Elephas maximus indicus: one gene and its partner. The protein of the gene in region 1 interacts with the protein of each later gene in a biochemical or structural test. Links are inferred from orthologs where the notes say so. Each region holds a gene or a part of one and is shown in the gene's direction. Other genes may lie near its edges.

Region 1 (9,372 bases):
TTTTTTTTTTTCTCTTTTCCTTTTGGTGAAAACATATAAAACAAAATATTCACCAATTCAACTTCTATGTATAGATTTCAGTGACTTGGTTACATTCTTCATGTTGTGTAACACTATCACTATTCTTCACCAACTTATTTCACCACAATTAACATAAAGCAGTAGAGGTTTTCACCACATTTTTCAGGCAGTTCTGATTTCCAAAATAGCTAAATGTAAGGCAATTAGAAATAAATTAAAATTAGAGAAAAGTTTACTCTCATGATTTTAATACTGGACAGCACATGTAAAAATGTAATACTGGACTTTTCCTCTGGTATCTAAATCATTTTTATTATGCTAAAAAAAGTTTTGTCATTGAGACAGAGCCCCAACTAATGGGGGTGATATTGTTAACTCTTCTCTGCAAGTCCTGTAAGTATGCACAACCCACAACTCTAAAGAACAAAGGAACAGACTATCTCCCTGGCTGGCCCAGAGTAGCTTGATTAAAAAAATATGGTGGTATTACGAATTTTTATATTTAAGATATCAAAGTATCCTTTAAAAATTCATTCAATATATTCAATTTAGCAATTAAGAGGCTATACAGTTTTGGGGGAGAATATAGTCCTGTTCTTGAAGAATTTATAATCTAGTTAGAGACAAATTATATGGGTATAAAACACCCCCAAAACAAATTAAATCAGTGTAGGATATTATTTTCTTGGCTTTCTAGGGCTTTCATAATCCAACTCTACTTTTTCACTACTCGTCCTGGAGAATATTCTTCTGTAACTAGGCAGATCTGCTAAGTCTCCTCCATACTGGTTATAAATAAGGATGCCTCTCCCTGCCCCCAAACCAAAAATTGTATCTAAAAACCAGTCCCTGCTTTCCATGTACTGAAGTATAAAGAGGCTGAGTTGATAATTAAGTTTCTTACATTCATAGCCCAGGGGCGGCGGGGAAGGAGCAGGCAGTGGGTAGGTGGTTTCAGGGGGATATTCCAGAGGGGCCTCAGGGAGAAGCCTGAACTGTTTTGGAGCCACAACTGTAGGTGCCTCACTTGTGACTGTGACCGGATCCCTCGGCTGTGCCCGTCCCCAGCCTCTCTCTGCCCTAGTAGGTGCTGGAGACAGGCATCTTAGAGCACCCCTCCACCTCACTCTACAAAGGCCGTTCCTCTTTCCTCAGACAGATAAAACTCGTTGCCATCGAGTCAATTCCGACTCATAGTGACTCAATAGGACAGAGTGGAACTGCCCGTAGGGTTTCCAAGGAGCAGCTGGTGGATTTGAGCTGCCAACCTTTTGGTTAGCAGCTGACCTTTTTTTCTTGTTTATTGTACTTTAGATGAAGGTTTACAGAACAAACTAGTTTCTCAGGAAAGTTAGTACACATATTGTTTTATGACATTGGTTAACAACCCCATGACATGTCAACACTCTCCCTTCTTGACCTTGGTTCCCTATTACCAGCTTTCCTGTCCCCTCCTGCCTTCAAGTCCCTGCCCCTGGGCTGTTGTGCCCCTTTAATCTTGTTTTGTTTTATAGCCCTGTCTAATCTTTGGCTGAAGGGTGAACCTTGGGAGTGGCTTCATTATTGAGCTGAAAGGGTGTCCAGGGGCCATACTTTCAGGGTTTCTCCAGTCTCCATCAGGCCAGCAAGACGGGTCTTTCTTTTTGAGTTAGAATTTTCTCCAGCTCTGTCTGGGATCCTCTATTCTGATCCCTGTCAGAGCAGTCAGTGGTGGTAGCCAGGCAGCACCTAGTAGTACTGGCCTCAGTCTGGTGGAGGCCGTAGCAGCTGTGGTCCATTAGTTCTTTGGACTAAACTTTCCCTTGTATGTTTAGTTTTCTTATCTCTCCCTTGCTCCCAAAGGGGTGAGACCAGTGGAGTATCCTAGATGGCCACTCAGGCTTTTAAGACCCCAGACACTACTCACCCAAGTAGAACACAGAACATTTTCTTTATAAACTATGTTATACCAGTTGAGCTAGATGTTCCCCGAGACCACGGAAGCAGCTGACCTTTTAACTACTGTGCCACCAGGGCTCATAGGAGGGGGTTAATTTGGTTTCAGTTTCCTTATTTATAAGCACACTGTAATCATATCTTTTTGAGATCACCTTGAAAAGAGCCTTCCTTCTACTAGTGTTTCCGAGCTCTGGAGTTTGATGACCAAGGTTTGAATCCCATCTCTTTGATCTTGGGCAAGTGACTTGGGCTCTGTGTTTCAGGGTCCTCTTCTGTAACCAAAACTAAACCCATTACCACCAAGTCAATTCCGACTCACAGCGATCCTACAGAGTTTCCAAGGAGTGCCTCGTAGATCTGAACTGCTGACCTTTTTAGCAGCCATAACTCATAACCACTATGCCACCAGTTTCCTCTTCTATAACATGAGGCTAATAACATGGTTGTCTTGAGAATTAAATGAGATAACACGTAAGTTTAGACCAATGCCTAAGATATTATATAGACTTTGGCTTTGAAATTTGTGTAGGCTCTGTGCTCAGTTGGCCTTGTGGTCATTAAACCATGAGGGTCTCTCTCTCCTTTTCCTATTTCTCAGCTGGATATATTTATGGATGTACTTATTTAGCTGATTATTTAATTAAAAATTTTTTTTTTGTTAAATATCCTGTTGTAATCAGGAATTATAAGACAATCACCCAGAATCACTACATCCGGAGCTACTATATCTAACATTCGTCTGTATACTTTTCTGGACTTAAATGTATATATACGTATACACACACATACATATATATAATCGTTATACAAGATTAGATACTGCACTCGATTTTGTCACATGCTTTTTCCTTGAGCACATCTACTACACTGTAAGTTCCACCAGGGGACAAATCATGAGGTTTTGTTCACCAGTGCAGGCTCACAGCAGGACTCAGAAAAAACCAAGGAATGAATGTCTCCACTTCAATAATCACACATCCACAAAATGATGAATCACAACATTTTCCCATATAGGTGTAGAATAGCTTCCGCAACCAGTTTTCTATCTTGGAAATTGACTTGTTTCCAATTTGTCTCTAGTTTCTAGCCATCTGTATTTTTGAAAAAAAAAAAAAAATTTAAATGTTAAAAAAAAGCACAAAGTATTTATTTATTTATTTTTAATATAGCACATATTAGTGAGCCCACCACCCAGAATCAACAAATTTTAAGGTTTTTTCCTGGTTAGCTTCATATTTAAAAAAAAAAAAAAGCTATGAAGAATTGCAGATAAAATTGAAGTCCCTATTTTTCTCTCCCCACTTCCATTTCCCTCCCTCCCTCTGAAGAGAAAACAGCTGTCATAAATTCGGTGTGTACTCCTGCAGTTCATGTCTATATTTACATAAAGTGTATGTAGACTGTAGATTCTGTGGGATTTTTTATTTATAAATGTGGTACAATAGTGTATATAAAGTTTTGCTACTTTTGTTTCACTCCATAACTGGTTTTGTATTCTATCCACGATCATTTATTCTTTGACAAACAGAGGGCTAGTCCATTCACTTAGCTACTGTATATGTTCCATCATTTGAATACCCACCCTTTATTTTCTGGCTCCCCTACTGTTGGATGGAAACCCTGGTGGCTTAGTGGTTAAGTGCTACTGCTGCTAACCAAGAGGTCAACAGTTCGAATCCGCCAGGCGCTCCTTGGAAACTCTATGAGGCAGTTCTCCATCCTATAGGGTTGCTATGAGTTGTAATCAATCACTCGATGGCAGTGGGTTGGTTTTGGTTTTTCTATTGTTGGAAATTTGCATTGTTGCCTATTTTTCACTATTGCAAACAATGCTATAATGGTCACCGTAATTGCAAATTTTTTTACAGGATATTTTACATGCAGATTTAAGAGTCAGTTAAATTCCTTTTACTTTACATTATTTCATTTGATGAAAGGTTTTTTTTTTTTAATTTTTTATTAAATTATGTTTACCCCTCTGAAAACAGAGCAGGGGCAGGCCCTTTAAACAGTGGGAACCAGGCAGCCAGTCTGTGGGTTGGGATTGGGGTGGAGTATGATCAGGGTATGAGTGAAAAGACAGAGATAATATTCTTGGTGAACACCAACCCACCAACCAACCCACCAAAACCCCTAAGCCGTTGCCATGGGATAATTCTGACTCATAGCGACCATATAAGACAGGAAGAACTGCCCCACAGGGTTTTCAAGGAGCGGCTGGTGGATTCGAGCTGTTGGTGGACTAGAACAGGCGACCTTTTTGGTTAGCGGCCTGAGCTCTTAATAACCGCGCCACCAGAGCTTACATTGGAAACATTTGTTTCCAATGCTGGGCAGGATCCGCGGGTAAAGTACAGTATGAGGTTAAAAAATGAAATTGAATTCTAAGCTGCATGATGATGACTTAACACATCAGAGCTCAAACAGAGAAACCAGGAGGCGGCTCTGAGGAGATTCCCTAAAGAGCTAAGGCCATAAAGCCCGGTAGGATTAAAAAGAGTAAAAGCTGGGAGAATGGAGAACAAGTACCTGAAGGCTCGTGAGGATGTTAAAATAGTTCAGAGATAATAACCTTCATTACTGTTTCTCTGGAGATTAAAATTTAAAAACCTCATAAGAGTTTATTACAGAGAAAACTGGGTTGCCTTTTAAAAGTATATTAGCCCTCACCATCACTTTCACCACTGCAGGTGGTGGGAGGTGTGCTAGGAGGTGAAGGCGCATCAGAAATGGATTCCGAATCTGACTTCCAGCCTTACTTCCACAGCGCCTCGACGCAACCCTGCGTTGTGTCCTGTCCCAAACCCACGGCCATAACGGTCCCAGTGCGCATCCACCCTCTCACTTGTTGGTGAATGTCACTGTGCTGCTCTGCATGCCGTAAACACGTCTCACAAACAGAATGCAAAAGCTCGGGGAGTGATGGGGTCTGCCTGTATGAAGGCACCCGGCAGCCGTCCTCCTCTAGTCCTCGGTTCCATGGTCCTATCAGCTCTCTGTCCCTTCCTGCTCTGATCTGAGAGGCTGGCGCCTTCTTGCTCCCTCCGCCGCTCATTCAGGCCTGTTAACTCACTTGCTTCGCCGAGCAGGGCGTTGGGAGCCTGGAAAGCCGCGGCACTCACGGCACTGGGTGACTGCGAACCTCGGCAATGGAGGGCCCGGCAGGAGGGCGGACGGGCGGGGGCAGGAAGGGCGAGGGCGGCCCGGACGGGCGTCCGTCCATCTGTCCGTCGGTCGGAGCGCGCCGGGCCAGGCCCCGCCCGGCTGGTATGCGGCCGGGAGTGACGCGGGCGGCGGCTCACGTGACTCCCGTGGAATGCCAACAATGTAGCGAATGTCCCACTTGGGGTGCGCTCTGGAGCCCGGCGCTAGCGCCCGACGATGGAGCCGCCGCCGCCCGCGCCGCCCGTGGAGCCCCCTTCGCCGCGGGGCCCGCAGCGGCCCCGGCCTCGGGTGCCCCGCCGCTCGGCCCGCGAGGCCACAGAGCCGAGAGTGGGGGCCGCCCCGCGAGCCTAGACCGCGCCCGGAGGTGAGAGACGCCGGGGGCGGGCGGCGGCCGGCGGGCTAAGGGCCGCCCGTGGAAAGTTGGCCGCGGGCTCCTCCGCACCCTCCGCCGCGGCTGGGGTTCCGGGGACGGCCTGACCGAGGGGCGGGAGTGAGAGCGAAGGGACTCTCCCCGGACCGAGGTCACCCTCCGCCCTGGCCCGCGTAGCCCGGCCTGGGCGAAGGCGTCGGGGAGCCGCCCCGGCTGGCGGCGCGCGTGGGGGCTCCGGGCCGCGAGCAGCGGAAGTTTGGGCAAGTTGGCGGGCCGGGCCGGAGCTTGTACGGCGGCTGCGGCGGCGGCCCGGTGCGCGGCGCTTTGTTGTGCGCCGGCCCGCCGCTGGGCCGGCCGGTCCCGGGAGCAGTCGTGACAGCGCGCCGATCCCCGCGCGCCCCCAGGCCGCGGCCCCGGACGGGTAGGGTGAGGGGCGGGCGCCGGCGCGGGCGCGCTCTGGATTTTCTCAGCCAGCGCCTAGAGTTCGTAGGACCCGGTCCGAGTTTCGGGAACACTTTGGGGCGGTGAAAGTGGTGGCAGTTGCATAACACGCCTTTCCTGCGTCCCGGCTGAGTCGACTTTTCTGGGACTCGACTTCTCTAATGCAAATCACATGCAGTCAGCTAGCTTCCCGGCCACGCTCTGGAGATGCGGGCTCGGCTGTGATTCATATTTTTGTCAGTCACTTTCTGTCGTTCCTGACTTTGAAAACTTAAGGAAGAGCATCTCCGTGGGGGATGAGATCCGGACAGCGGGGCTGGGCAGGAGTGCCTCGCTGGAGCAAACCTCGGTCTGTTGACTCGGTCGCCTGTGCGCATGGGGCGGGCGGAGGCAGACAGAAGAACACACCTTCCGGCACCTTGTGACCCGGTTTGGTGAGCGACAGCTTCCCGAAAACATGGCGAGGAGAACGTAAGGCCGGGGACGGGTCTTGAGGCCCTCGAGTGGGAAGTATTCTTTTGCAAACATAACCGTGAACGTACACTATACTTGTATATTTTGTTATACTCACCAAAAAAAGAAAATTTTTCACATTTTTGTAGGATAAATGAGTGTTCTTAACATACTTATTGTCTAGGCTTTTTGAAATTATTTAGCGTTAATTATTTTATTAAGCTAGGGAGAATACATTTGGCAGGTGGAAATTAAAATTAATAGCAGGACAGCTCTCTTCACAAAGTATTCAGCAAATAGGCACACTTTTTAGGAAAGTTTCTGAGCACATTTTACTAAGAAACTTGAATACACTGAAATCTGAATGGAGAGTCACAAAGTGTGTGTGATCTGAGTACAGGTGTTCTGGTTAAAATTTTAATTTAGTAGATGAGGGGTCTTTCCTTAGTAATGGAGAAAGTAGCTTGTGTCTGGCTTATTGGGATGTTTGTGCTAAATAGATCTTGCTCTGTGTTTTCAGTTTAATCTCTGCATAAGCGTCAGCATGATGGATCACCATTCTTAATCAAGAGACTAAGCTTCATTGTATCTTTTAAGTTTTTTCTTCAGGGACTGCTGTAATGAGTTAGTACCAGATAAATCTTCCAAAATAAGAATGCAGAGACTGTTAAAGTCTGTTTTAAATTAACAATAATTAACAAGATACAATGTTCAGTCTCATAAAATTTTGTTTCATTATCCAGGCCTATGGAGCACTGTTTAATGACTGTGCCAGCATGCCTTTGAAATTAAACTGCTGAACGTTTAATAAATCTGAAAATGTCCAGCAATTTTGAAATGATGTTTGAGTGGAGGATATCATGCAAAATTATTAAGGTGAATTATTAGAGTCATAGATTTTAAAACTGAAAGGGATTCCTTTAGCCTCTTCAACTAGTTTGAAATGGTTTTAACTTAAGTGGGAATTGAAATTGTACATATTTCTTAGCAAATCAAGGGGTTGGTGGGAGGGCCTTTCCTTTGGTGGGAGGGGAATGCTTTTACAATAGGATGCCTTGTTATTTTAAATGCTGAGTTGTGAATAGCCAGCCTTGGGTCCCATAGAGGGCAAGAGGAAGCTGATAAATTCACTGTAAACACACAGAAAGTGGAATAGGGTTTTGGGAAGCTTTTGGGAGTGGTGGTGGAATGTTCTGTGTTGTATTAGAAAAACCAGACCAACTCAGTTTTTGAAAAGCTGCTTTTATATTTTATTTCACAGTAATAATAATGTGAAACTTCTGACTAATAGATACCTTATTGACTTTTTAAATAGTGGGTTTGTAAAAATACAGAGGATAAGTTTACTTTGTCTTGACTGTAAATCTTAAAAAAAAAAGGAGCAAAATATTCTCATCCATGGTCTGAAAAGATTGCACTTGATAATAGAAGAATTTGGTCTCCTTCATCTTTTTTTTTTTCTTTTTAAAAAATCTGTTGACTCCATGACAACTAACAACAACAACGTTGATTAGTAAATTGTCTGGATAGAGCTGGGCAGGCAAATTGTACAACTCCAGGGGGCACCGTTCCCATTGAATGCTAAGTAAATGGTGCTTTGTGTAATGGGGTCCATTTACATGGAGTACCATGTGAATGGTGTCTTTTGTGAAGATTTCATTTAGTGTTAGTTGTTTTTCCGGTATTTTTAAGGGTATTTGATATACAGTGTCATTTTGGAAGTATCAGTAAAACAAGATAATGTTGAAAATAAAGATATTGGTTATGATGCTAAAATTAGGATGGAAATTTAGCATTCCTTAATGTTTACCGTTTACCATATGAAGACTTTGTGTTGGTTACTATCTAGAACAAGTCAGCTGAATTATGACCAGTGTTTTTTTTTTTAGTTTATTAAAAAGAATATTAAAAGACGATACTCTTTTTGTTCATATGTCAGTATTTGACAGGAATTTTTCTGGAGGAAAAGTGAAAAATCTCCTATTTTGTAGCTGTGGTTTGTATTTATTAATGCTGATTGTGAAGATATTGAGGCATAATGCAAGTCTCATAGCCCCAAAATCAGGATGGTAAGGATCTTAACAATGTAAGTTGGAATTTGAATGGAGGGGGCCTCTGGAGTATTGGGCCTCACTGCCTCCAGGCAGTTATCTTGAATAGGAATGCTAAGGACCAACACATTCTTTTACTAATTTACTGCATAGTACCTCACTAGCCTCAAGTCTATTTTTTCAGTAAATGTATCCAGTAACACCTGCACCTCCTCAACATTGCTGCTCATCTTTCTTTTCTATGTGTAAGCCTTTTCACAGGAAGTTCTAGACTCCAAGAATAGCTTCATACTTCGTCCATCAAATCGTAGCCTTTCCAATATTGGTGAAACTTTCCTTTCTTGAGGAGGCTTTCTCCACATAATTTGAACACCTGCCTGAAGCATTGTTCCTCCATAGCGATAGACACATACACTGGGATCTTTGGGCAGCAGCAGTATTACCTTTCCTTAGGGCAGTGATTCTGAAATGGCCTGGGAGTCATACTCCTTAGTATGCGATAGCTGAAACTTGGGAGGGGGCTGGGTGCAGAGGAGGCAGCGCTTTCTCAAAGATTGAGAATCCCTGTTGGAGTATGGAATTGAATATAAGGAGACTCATCCTGTTCAGTTGTTTGCTGTTTTGCTTTTTTAACTAGAAATGCCAGAAAGAACTGACAAATTTATCAGTAACCTGGTCGCTCCATTTGGATATCTTGAGTGCAGACTTCTGTGGCTTCTTTTTGTTATGCCATTATTCATATTTGTGTACAAATATATTGCATGAATAACATGTACAAAGCTGTCTAATAGGATGTGCTGTCTTGTTTTTCCTTTGGATTGTAAGTTTATTTAGAGGTGAGAGTCTGGCCTGCCTACCTGAAACCGCATGACCATCACAGCATTAGGCATACGTATGGTACTTCCAAACACACTGAATTTTTATGATGACACC
Region 2 (9,903 bases), on another chromosome or scaffold:
CTTAGATTCTAGGCTTTTAAGACCCTAGAATCTACTCACAAAAGTAGGACATAGAACATTGTCTTTATGAACTATGTTATTCCAGTCAACCTAGATGTCCCCCAAGACCACGGTCCCCAGCCCTCAGGCCGGTAACTCAGTCCATCAAGGTGTTTGGATGTGTCAGGAAGCTTCTATGACTTTGCCTTGGTCAAGTTGTGCTCACTTCCCCTAAGAAGGTTTATGAGTTTTAGTGAAAAATGAATGCACTGAAAGATGCCAGCCTTCATTAAACCAACCTTTCATGTTTCCACACTTTTCTGTTGTATCAAATGAATATGTCCTTGAGAAGTTTTTATGTACAAATGACATAGAATTAAAACCTACAGAGCATTGATAGAGTCAGGCTGAATTATTAGCTGTGTTAAGTGGGATTGTGTAGCATGCCAAAATTCACTTAGAATATATCCAGGCTAATTTAGGCCATCTTGGAAGGGAAAACTGATTTTCCTGAATTAAGATTATATTTACTAGCTGTGTGATCTCGAGCAAGTTACTTAACCTCTCAGCATTGGTTTCCTTATCTATAAAATGGGGGAAATACAGGCACTCCCTGGAATAGGAAGGAGATCCGTTCCTGCGTGTGTCTTCAATAATTTGTAGGTAAGTCAGAACAGGTAGATACAGTTATTATTTAACTTTACTTTAATGTAAGAGGAATCCCTGGTGGCTTAATTGTTAAGGGCAACAGCTGCTAACCAAAAAGTCAGCAGTTCAAATCCACCAGGCGCTCCTTGGAAACTCTATGGGGCAGTTCTACTCTGTCCTATAGGGTCGCTATGAGTCAGAATCTACTCGAAGACAGTGGGTTTGTTTTTTAGTGCAAGAAATCGCAATCGACTCAAAGGCAATGGGTTTGGTTTTTTTTGGTTTTAGCGCAAGAAAAAGCTCAAAGCCTTTCCAATGATTTAAAAGCCGCACTTACAGCAAGTAAAGGTGATTGTGATGAATTTGCTGTGAGTAGGGGTTGGTTCAATTGTTTTAAAGTGAGGACAAATTTACATTAAAAAAATTTTTTTTTTTTTTTTAAAGGGTAAGTACAAGAAGTTGTCCTTAACTTGGACTTTTATAACCCAGGGACTTACTGTAATACCTAATACCAACCTCATGGGACAGTGTAAGGAAAAAATGAAATAAACATAAAATAGAAGAAGTTTAGCAGAGTGATTGTCCCATAAGAAAGTCAATAAATGGTAGCTATAAAAACACACATAAAAACAATCTTATGTAGTTGAACCAATTAGGTGAAATACTTAGCATGTCAATTTAAGTATTATACAATCAAAACACTCCTACACAACAGAGTACACTTCACTGAGTCACTAAGGATTTGTTGCCCAGGTATAGCTTTTCTAGCATTTGTTGTTCAGGAATCTATTCTTCCAGAGTCAGATCACAGCTGCTTAAGAAATACTAATGCACGTACTAAGGCACAGGGTTTGAACTCAGCATTTCTCCGCTCTAGCATCGATAACATCTGTTTTAGCCTTACAGGTGAAAGAACATCTTTATATATTAGACAGAAAAATCTGCCTCAACAGGTATTGGTGACAGTTGCGCAAGGTGATTAATGTAATTATTGTTTCTAAATTGTACACGTGAAAAACCTTGAATTGGTAAATCTTTACAACAACAAAATAAGCTGCATAATGTGAGCACAAGGAAAGAACCCTCTAGTCCAAAACGTTATCTTCCATATCAGCTCTTCTTAAAGCCCATCAATTTTAGCACTTTTTCTAGGCCTTTTCAAAAGGAGACCCATTTTTGTTTGTCTATTTATTACAGAAGATTTAAAAACTAAACAAAAATAGAACGGTACCGTGGCTACCCCCAGCCTCCATACTCATCATCTGGCTTCAACAGTTATCAACTTGCGGCCAGTCTTGTTTCGTCTATACTTCTGTCCATTTCCCTCTCCCATGTTATTTTAAAGCAAATCTGACATAATTATTTCATCTCTAAATCATTTTGGTACATATTTCTAAAACATAAAGTCTCTTTTAAGAAAAAACACAACCACATCATTACCACAATTCACAAAAAATCCTTATTGTTATCAAATATCCAATCAGTGTTCAAATTTCCAGTTATATCATAAATGACATAAACATTTATGGTTGTTTTTCAGGCTGCTTGTTTGAATCAGGATCCAAATGAGGTTCACACATTGCAATTGGTTGATATGTCTCCTATGTCTCTTTCAATCTCTAGGTTTTTCTTCCAGTTCTATTTTTTCCTTGCAATTCGTTTGCTGAAGAAATCAGGCCTTGGATAGTTTCCTCACAGTTTAGATTTTGCTGATTGAATCCATGTGGTGTCACTTAACATGCTTTCTTACACATTCTTCTGTTTTCTGTAACTGGATCTAAAGGCTTCATCGGGTTCTATTTTTTTGTGTGCAAGACTTCTTCATAGGTGCTTATGTACTCCTTCATCAGGAGGTACATAAAGTCTGGTCCTTGCTCTTACTATGATATTAGCAGCTGTTGATCAATGCCTAGATCTATTAATCTATTAGGTTGCAAAAGTCTAAATAATAATTCAATCGTTTCTACTTCATTTTTTAATCTGAAATACTTCTATAAGGAGAAATTTCCCCTTATTGACTGGCTATAACTAGTATTACTTCATTCAGGAAAGGTCACGTATTAATCAGTACCTAGGAAGTGATTAATTTATCTGAACAAAAGTACTATCATCTTCTTTAAGGTGGTAGAAATCTTAACCTTGACAGAGAGGAAAAATGTGTGTAACCTAACCCAGTACCGTCGAGTCGATTCTGACTCATAGCGACCCTATAGGACAGAGTAGAACTTCCCCATAGAGTTTCCAAGGAGCGCCTGGTGGATTCGAACTGCCGACCCTTTGGTTAGCAGCTGTAGCACTTAACCACTACGCCACCAGGGTTTCTATATATATATATATATACACACATTTATATACATGTATATATATTTTTTGTATGTATTTCCATCCATCCATCCATCTATATATACATATGGAAACCCTTTTGACATAGTGGTTAAGAGCTACAGTGCTAACCAAATGGTTGGCAGTTTAAATCCACCAGGCGCTCCTTGGAAACCAGATGGGGCAGTTCTACTCTGTCCTGTAGGGTCGCTATGAGTTGGAAGTCACTCAGTGGCAGTGGGTTTGGTGTGTGTATATATATATATATATATATGTCAGCTGTTAAATCCAGACAACTCTTCTTAGCAGGTGTTTTTGCAGATTCTCTCCTCTGCCAATCTTTCTCCTGATTCAGTGTCATAGGAGTCACCTAAGCTGTGTCAGACAAAAAGTTAGGTTACTTAAGCCAGCCTATCAAATCAGGGAAGAGTTGGGCATTGTGTGCCAGTCATTTGAAGAATGCCCCTGGCATGACAAAATTTTAGAACTGGAAGATATTTTACAGATCATGTAATAATCTGATGCCTTCGTTTTAAAGGAGGTAGAACTGAGGTTCTGACAGATTAATTGATTTGCTCTTCTCAAATAATTTCTGAGAATTCTGGTAATTCAAGTCTTCAAAAGAACCATAAGGAATTATATAGCATGCTAGTTTTCATATCAAGATCCAGAACTGAGGGCTTATATATCAAAAATCCATTACATTCATCATATTAAGATAAATCCTTCTTCTCTTCCCTTGTTTTCTGCATCTTTTGAGTCTTGAAGTCTTCCCAAAATATTCCAGTAACCCTCTGCCGGTCCTTAGGTAAGTGTCAAGATTCCAATATTTTATATATTTTTTAATGTCTTGCCTTACCAAGTGCCAAGCTAATAATGCACAATGTTGTTAGCTGCCGTGGAGTCAGCCCCTGACTCACGGGAACCACATGCACAGTGGAAGGATACACCGCTCTGCCCTGTGGCAAACCTATGATCATTTGTGGATTTGACCATTATGATCCACAGGGTTTTCATTGGCTGACTTTCAGAAGTAGATAGCAATGCCTTTCTTCTTAATCCATCTTAATTTGGAAGCTCTGCTGAAATCTGTTCAGGATCACAACAACATGGAAGCCTCCACTGACAGATGGCTGGTGATTGCACACGAGGTGCATTGCCAATCAAATAAATTTCAAATTTGCACCCCCTTGAAATCTACTATGCCCTTTGTGATGATATGCCAAAAACCAAAAAAACTAAACCCGTTGTCATCCAGTCAATTCTGACTCATAGTGACCCTACTCGACAGGGTGGAACGGCCCCAAAAAGTTTCCAAGGAGCAGATGGAAGATTTGAACTGCCCAGCCTTTTGGTTAGCAGACATAGCTCACCGTAGCTCTTAACCACTGCACCACCAGGGCTCCAAATATCTGAACACTAATTTTTGTCCTGGTTCTTTGAAAGCTTACTTGTAGATTTGATGATGTTGTGAGTAAAGAACAGGGACACTTCTTGTGTAAAATACTCCCCCCACACCTCCCACCCTCCACCCTCCCAGCCCCCCCCCCCCCCCCGGAAAAAATCTGTCTTGGAAGAAGTACAGCCAAAATGCTCCTTAGAAGCAAGGATAGTGAGAGTATGTACTCACATACTTTGGACATGTTATCAGGAGGGATCAGTCCCTGGAGAAGGACATTATGCTTGGTAAAGTGGAGGGTCAGTGAAAATGAAAACGACCCTCAATAGATGGATTGACACAGTGGCTGCAGCAATGGGCTGAAGCATAACAATTGTGAGGATTCCTCAGGGCAGGGTTTCCTTCTGTTGTACATAGGGTCACTATGAGACTGAACCGACTCAACGGCTAACAACAACATATTTTCCTAGCAATTGATAATGCTATGGTGACTCGTTCAAGGAATGTGGGCCATTCTTAAATATATAAAGATTTGCCCCATGCCCCTTAACCATGTGAGAATGAAAGGCTCTCCGTAAGGGGGACTGGTGCTTTCTGGTGCTTTCTCGCCTCTACAACGTTTTGTGCATGAGTGTCCAGCGGTTGTAACTGACGTCAGCCCATACATGCGTAATCATTATTGCCATTGCTGATCAGCCTACCACGCTGGGACCCATGATGAACTGGCCTCAGCTCTCCCCCTTGGCGCCTTCAGTTTTCCCAGTTTTGAAGACAGTCTAGCTTGCCAGTTCAGACAGTGATGATGGACCTTGACCTCCTCCTAGTTCAGGGTTTTAAAATATACCTACAAAACGACCAAGATGTTGAAAATTAGTCCCTTTCCTCTCCCGTGGTAGAGCCACACCCAAACCATTTCAACCAGATGAAACTCCATCCTATTTTTAAATACTAGCAGAGAAAGAGTTTCCATAACCTTTCATCGTCCCTTGCTGGGCACGATGGATGGAACTCTGGTGGCAATTCCACCCCTCACTGCAAGGCCCTGACATCCTGGATCTGAAGCCCACTTCCTCCCTGACCGCTGAAACCCAGCACAGCAGCCCGGAGCGTTCTGCCGGGACCCCCAACCGGATGGATAGGCCTCAGTGAACCCGGGATCCCGAGGCACTCGCCAAGCGTGGTTTCTGGCTGCAAAGGTGACTAGAGGTGAGGGCACCCTTAGCCGCAGCCAGAGGGGCGGGTTGGGAGCGCGCCGCTCTCGCGAGAGCTGGCGGAATCGGGGGTGGCAGGGGGCTGGGGAGCAGGACTTGCGGCATGGTTGGGGGAGAGGCGCGGCGGTAGCTTCGCGTTCTCGGAGGAGCTGGCTGGCTGCCCTTGCCCCGCCTACCTTTCCTTCCCCTCCCACTGAGAGATTCGAGCCGTGCGCTTCCCACTTCCGCCCCCTCTGCCTGCCATTGGAACTAGCGAAGCCGAACAAGTTGCTGCCGAGGAGCAGCCGGCGCACCCCTCCTCCTTCTCCCTCCCGCCTCTCCTCTTCCCTGGCAGCCGCCGCCGCTGCCGCCCCGAGGCCCCGCGACCGCTGAGCCTGCAGCCCACGCCGCAGCCGACATGAGCTTCTTGTTGTGAGTAGCCAGGTCCCGAGCCCCGGCTTTGTTCGGGCGCGATCTGGGCCGCCGGCCCCGCACCCGCTGCCCCGCTCGGTCCGGCCGTGCCGGATGCGGGCCGCCTCGGTCCTTGCTGCCCGGGCGGGCGTTTCCACCGAGCAGGGCTCCGGGAACCTGCCGGGAACGCTGACGCTGCCGGACCGTCGCCTCCTGCCCAGCGCTCTTCGAGCGCGCGTGGACTCCTCCAACCCCTAACGAGGCTTTGCTCCCCGGACCCCAAGGTCCCGATACACGCCTCTCCCTGCTCCCGGGTTTCTCCCATCACCTCAACCTCTCCCTTCGTACTTATCCCCGGGTTTGTTTGTGTGTACGCTCTTCATAGCTACCTCCCACTCTTCCGCGTGACCCGTATCCAGCGCTTGCGGGTCCGCTGTGCCCGTCCGGGCTGCCAATTTTTTCTGATTGTCATGCACTGAGATAAAGCTTCGTACTTTTCCCGTCGCTCCAGGACTCTTTTAATTCCCCCCCCCCCTTTTTTTTAAAGGTCTTAAAGGAGCCCTAGTGGCGCAGTGGTTACGCGCACGGCTGCTGACCAGAAGGTCAGCGGTTGGAATCTACCAGCTGCTCCGCGGGAGAAAGATGTGGCAGTCAGCTTGCATAAAGATTATAGCCTTGGAAACCCTGTGGGGGCAGTTCTAAGTTGCTGTGAGTCAGAATCGACTGGACGGCAGTGGATTGGGTTTGGTTCTTAGGGGGCGAGAAGTTGGGGAGACAAGTCCTGTGGATGTTAACACTGAAGTGAGGCTGCTTGCTGCTCAGTATCTCCTGATGGCAGCTGGGGGTCCTGGGGGCAAGAATCTGGAGCAGCTTTTTGCTTTCCCTAGGCACCCTTTCTCTCAGTGTGCTTCCCTGAAGAGTACGGGCTTTTATTCTTTCAGACAACCACCAAATACTGTCTGGTGGGTAGCGTGCCCTAGGTTGATTAGGTCCACTGGAGAGTTGTTTTGCAAGTCATTTGTAAAGGCCAACTTTAGCATCACGTTTAGTGCTTGTCATTATTTAGTGCTTGTCATTATTTCACTTATTGTTTATTTCAGAGGAATTTGAGAGGGGAAGGGCAGTAAGATGGAATGACCAGATGGAGTTATGGAGGCAAAGTACAAGCTTCCAGTCATCCTAAAACAGGGAATTACACCCTGAGGAATTCCTCTTTTGACAGCTTTGTTTTGCCTGGAAAACTCATTAAAATCTGGAGGTTGAAACCCACCCCAAACTCTCCTTTAGAGTCGTGGAGAAAATAGCATTTAAAAATTACCTTCTGGTCCGATTTTTTTTTTCCCCCACTTCCTGTAATATTGAGTTATCAAATTGGCATTTGAATCCTGACACTTCAACCCACACTAATTTTCACAAATCTGGAAATTTTTTTTAGTGCATGTAAGCAAAATTGAGCTGTCACAGAAGGCTGACCACCAGGACTTGCCAATATTTCTAAAAAGCACAGGGGGCCTGGCCCCTGGCTGGTGTCAACCTGCCTAATGTGTTTAATCTTATGAAACCCCTTTGTTAGGCTCATCCTAGAAGTTGATTTTGAGTTTGTCAGATTGGAATAGTGCTAGATGAGAGGACTGAGTGACTTTAAAGAAGTCTTTGTTTCCAGTTTTAGTTTGAATCGACGTGTACAGGCATCTCAGCTTGAAGCTTGAGTATAATTTTATATTGCTGATGTTTGATTCTTTTCAAGATTTAAAAAACTGTATTGGAAATAGTAATGTAGATGATGTCAGTGGCTGCTGTTGGTGGGCTTGAGTCTCTTGGAACTCATAAGCTAAATTTGTCCAAGCTGGGAAGAGCCATATTTGGCTGGAAATAAAGGGTGGAGAAGGTCCTGGTACTATTTTCTGAATACAAATACAATAGGTTCCTATTTTTACATGGCTCGATGTTTATAGATTCAGAAATGGCATGGATAAGTTCCCTTTTTCCTGAAGCACATTAGCTATGTAAGAAAAATCTTGCCATAACTGATGTATATAGCACATTAGGGGGTTTGCACTCTTTGAGGCACAACTTTTCAGTCAGGTCACATAGCATTTAGAGTATTCGCGACATTTAGCCCATCCATGTGCTACACAATACAAAAAGTTAATCAGACATTTTTAGATTTAGTGTTTGTCTACCAGTAGCTTAAAATCTAAAGGGAAGACTGTGTAGATCAGTATTGGAAGTGAAAGGGGAAAGTTTTGATTATTTTATCTGTTTGTCATTTGGTATAGTTTCCTGAATACTATTTCTATACTAAAAGATGAGTAGAGAAAGGAAGAGTTACAGTTTCGGAGTTAAGTAAAAATATTTTCCTCCAGTTCTTGGAAGCCTACTTAGAAGGCTACTCTAAGTGGATGGAACAGAGGAAATAAGGGCAATGTGAGATAGGGTTCAGAAAGTGATGATTCGTGACTCATGAGGGCTGTAAGAAATGGAAAGAATTTGAAATTATTCATTGTGCCAGGCACTGATCTAGGCACTGGCTATCATTAATGAATAAAACAGACAAAAATACCTGGCCTAGTTCTAGTAAGGAACCATAAACTCTAAACATCAGTAAATTATATATATGGTAAAACCAGTTGCCGTCAAGTTGATTCCAACTCATGGTGATCCCATGTGTGTCAGAGTAGAACTGTTCTCCATAGGTTTTCAATGGCTGGTTTTTTGGAAGTAGAACCACGTCCTTCTTCTGAGGAACCTCTGGGTGGACTTGAACCTGAAACATTTAGTTAGCAGCTTTGCGTGTTTAAGAGCTTGCACTAACCCGTGACTCCTTATTAGGAGGTTGTAATCCATGGAATAATCTGAGAAGCTGGACTTTATGAAGAAGAATACAGTATCAGGATTGGTGGAAGACTTATTAACAACCTGCGATATGCACATGATACAATCTTGCTTGCAAAAAAAAACCAAACCCACAAACAAACAATACGTACTGTCTTTGTTGTCAGGCAATGATTTAACTGATTTTAGTACTTCAGCTCTGGGTGGCACAAATGGTTACCATTTGACTGCTTAGCTACTAACCTAAAAACTGGTGGTTTGAACTACCCTCCCCACCACCCCCGCCCATGGCAGCCTGGAAAAAAGACCTGAAGATCTGTTTCTGTAAAGATTACCAAAAAAGTCCAAATCTGCTATTCTGACTCATAGTGAGTGACCCTATAGTACCCGGTAGAACTGCCCCATCGGGTTTCCAAGGAGCGCCTGGTAGATTCGAATTGCCAACCTTGTAGTTAGTAGCTGTAGCTCTTAACCACTATGCCACCAGGGTTTCCCTGTAAAGATTACAGCCAGGAAAACCCTATGAAGTAGTTCTACTCTGTAACACATGGGGTCGCTGTGAGTTGTAATCAACTTAACAGGAATGGGTTTTTGGTTTTAGTACTTAAGCATCCTCACCTGTAAAAAAAATTAATAGTTATCGTAATAATAATTATAGTTTGCTGAGTGCTTACTAGGTGCCAAGCACTAAGTGCTTGAAATAATTAACTCAGTTTAGTAACTACCAGGAACCACATTTTATAGATGAAGAAACTGGTACAGAGAGTGTCTTAATTACCTAGTGCTGCTGTATCAGAAATACTACAAGTGGGTGGCTTTAGAGAACAGAAATTTATATTCTCATAGTTCTGGAGGTTAAAAGTCCAAATCAGAGCCTCAATAGTGTTGATTCCTTGTTTGTCTGTAGCCCTGGGCATTCCTGGGTTCCTTGGCAATCTTCTCATGACATCTGTTTGCCACTCTGTGTGCATGTCTCTGTGTCTGATGTCTTCTTTTTGTAACTCAGAAGTGATTAGATTTAGAACCCACCTTCCTCAGGTGTGATCTAATTGACACAACCAAGAAACCCTGTTTTCAAACAGCATTACATCCACAGGTATAGAAGTTAGGATTCTAACA

The links.
Region 2: the proteins of LATS2 (region 1) and MOB1B form a complex in vitro, tested with the Homo sapiens proteins (2 studies listed by BioGRID). The link is inferred for Elephas maximus indicus from reciprocal best matches to the Homo sapiens genes LATS2 and MOB1B.

What each region holds. Positions count from the first base shown.
Region 1 is NC_064841.1:51,614,315-51,623,686, reverse strand, and holds the start of LATS2 (serine/threonine-protein kinase LATS2), read left to right. Parts: upstream 1-5,399; 5' UTR 5,400-5,488; intron 5,489-9,372. UniProt on the Homo sapiens protein: Negative regulator of YAP1 in the Hippo signaling pathway that plays a pivotal role in organ size control and tumor suppression by restricting proliferation and promoting apoptosis.
Region 2 is NC_064823.1:87,055,088-87,064,990, reverse strand, and holds the start of MOB1B (MOB kinase activator 1B), read left to right. Parts: upstream 1-5,657; 5' UTR 5,658-5,956; coding exon 5,957-5,970; intron 5,971-6,496; exon of another isoform or gene 6,497-6,657; intron 6,658-9,903. UniProt on the Homo sapiens protein: Activator of LATS1/2 in the Hippo signaling pathway which plays a pivotal role in organ size control and tumor suppression by restricting proliferation and promoting apoptosis.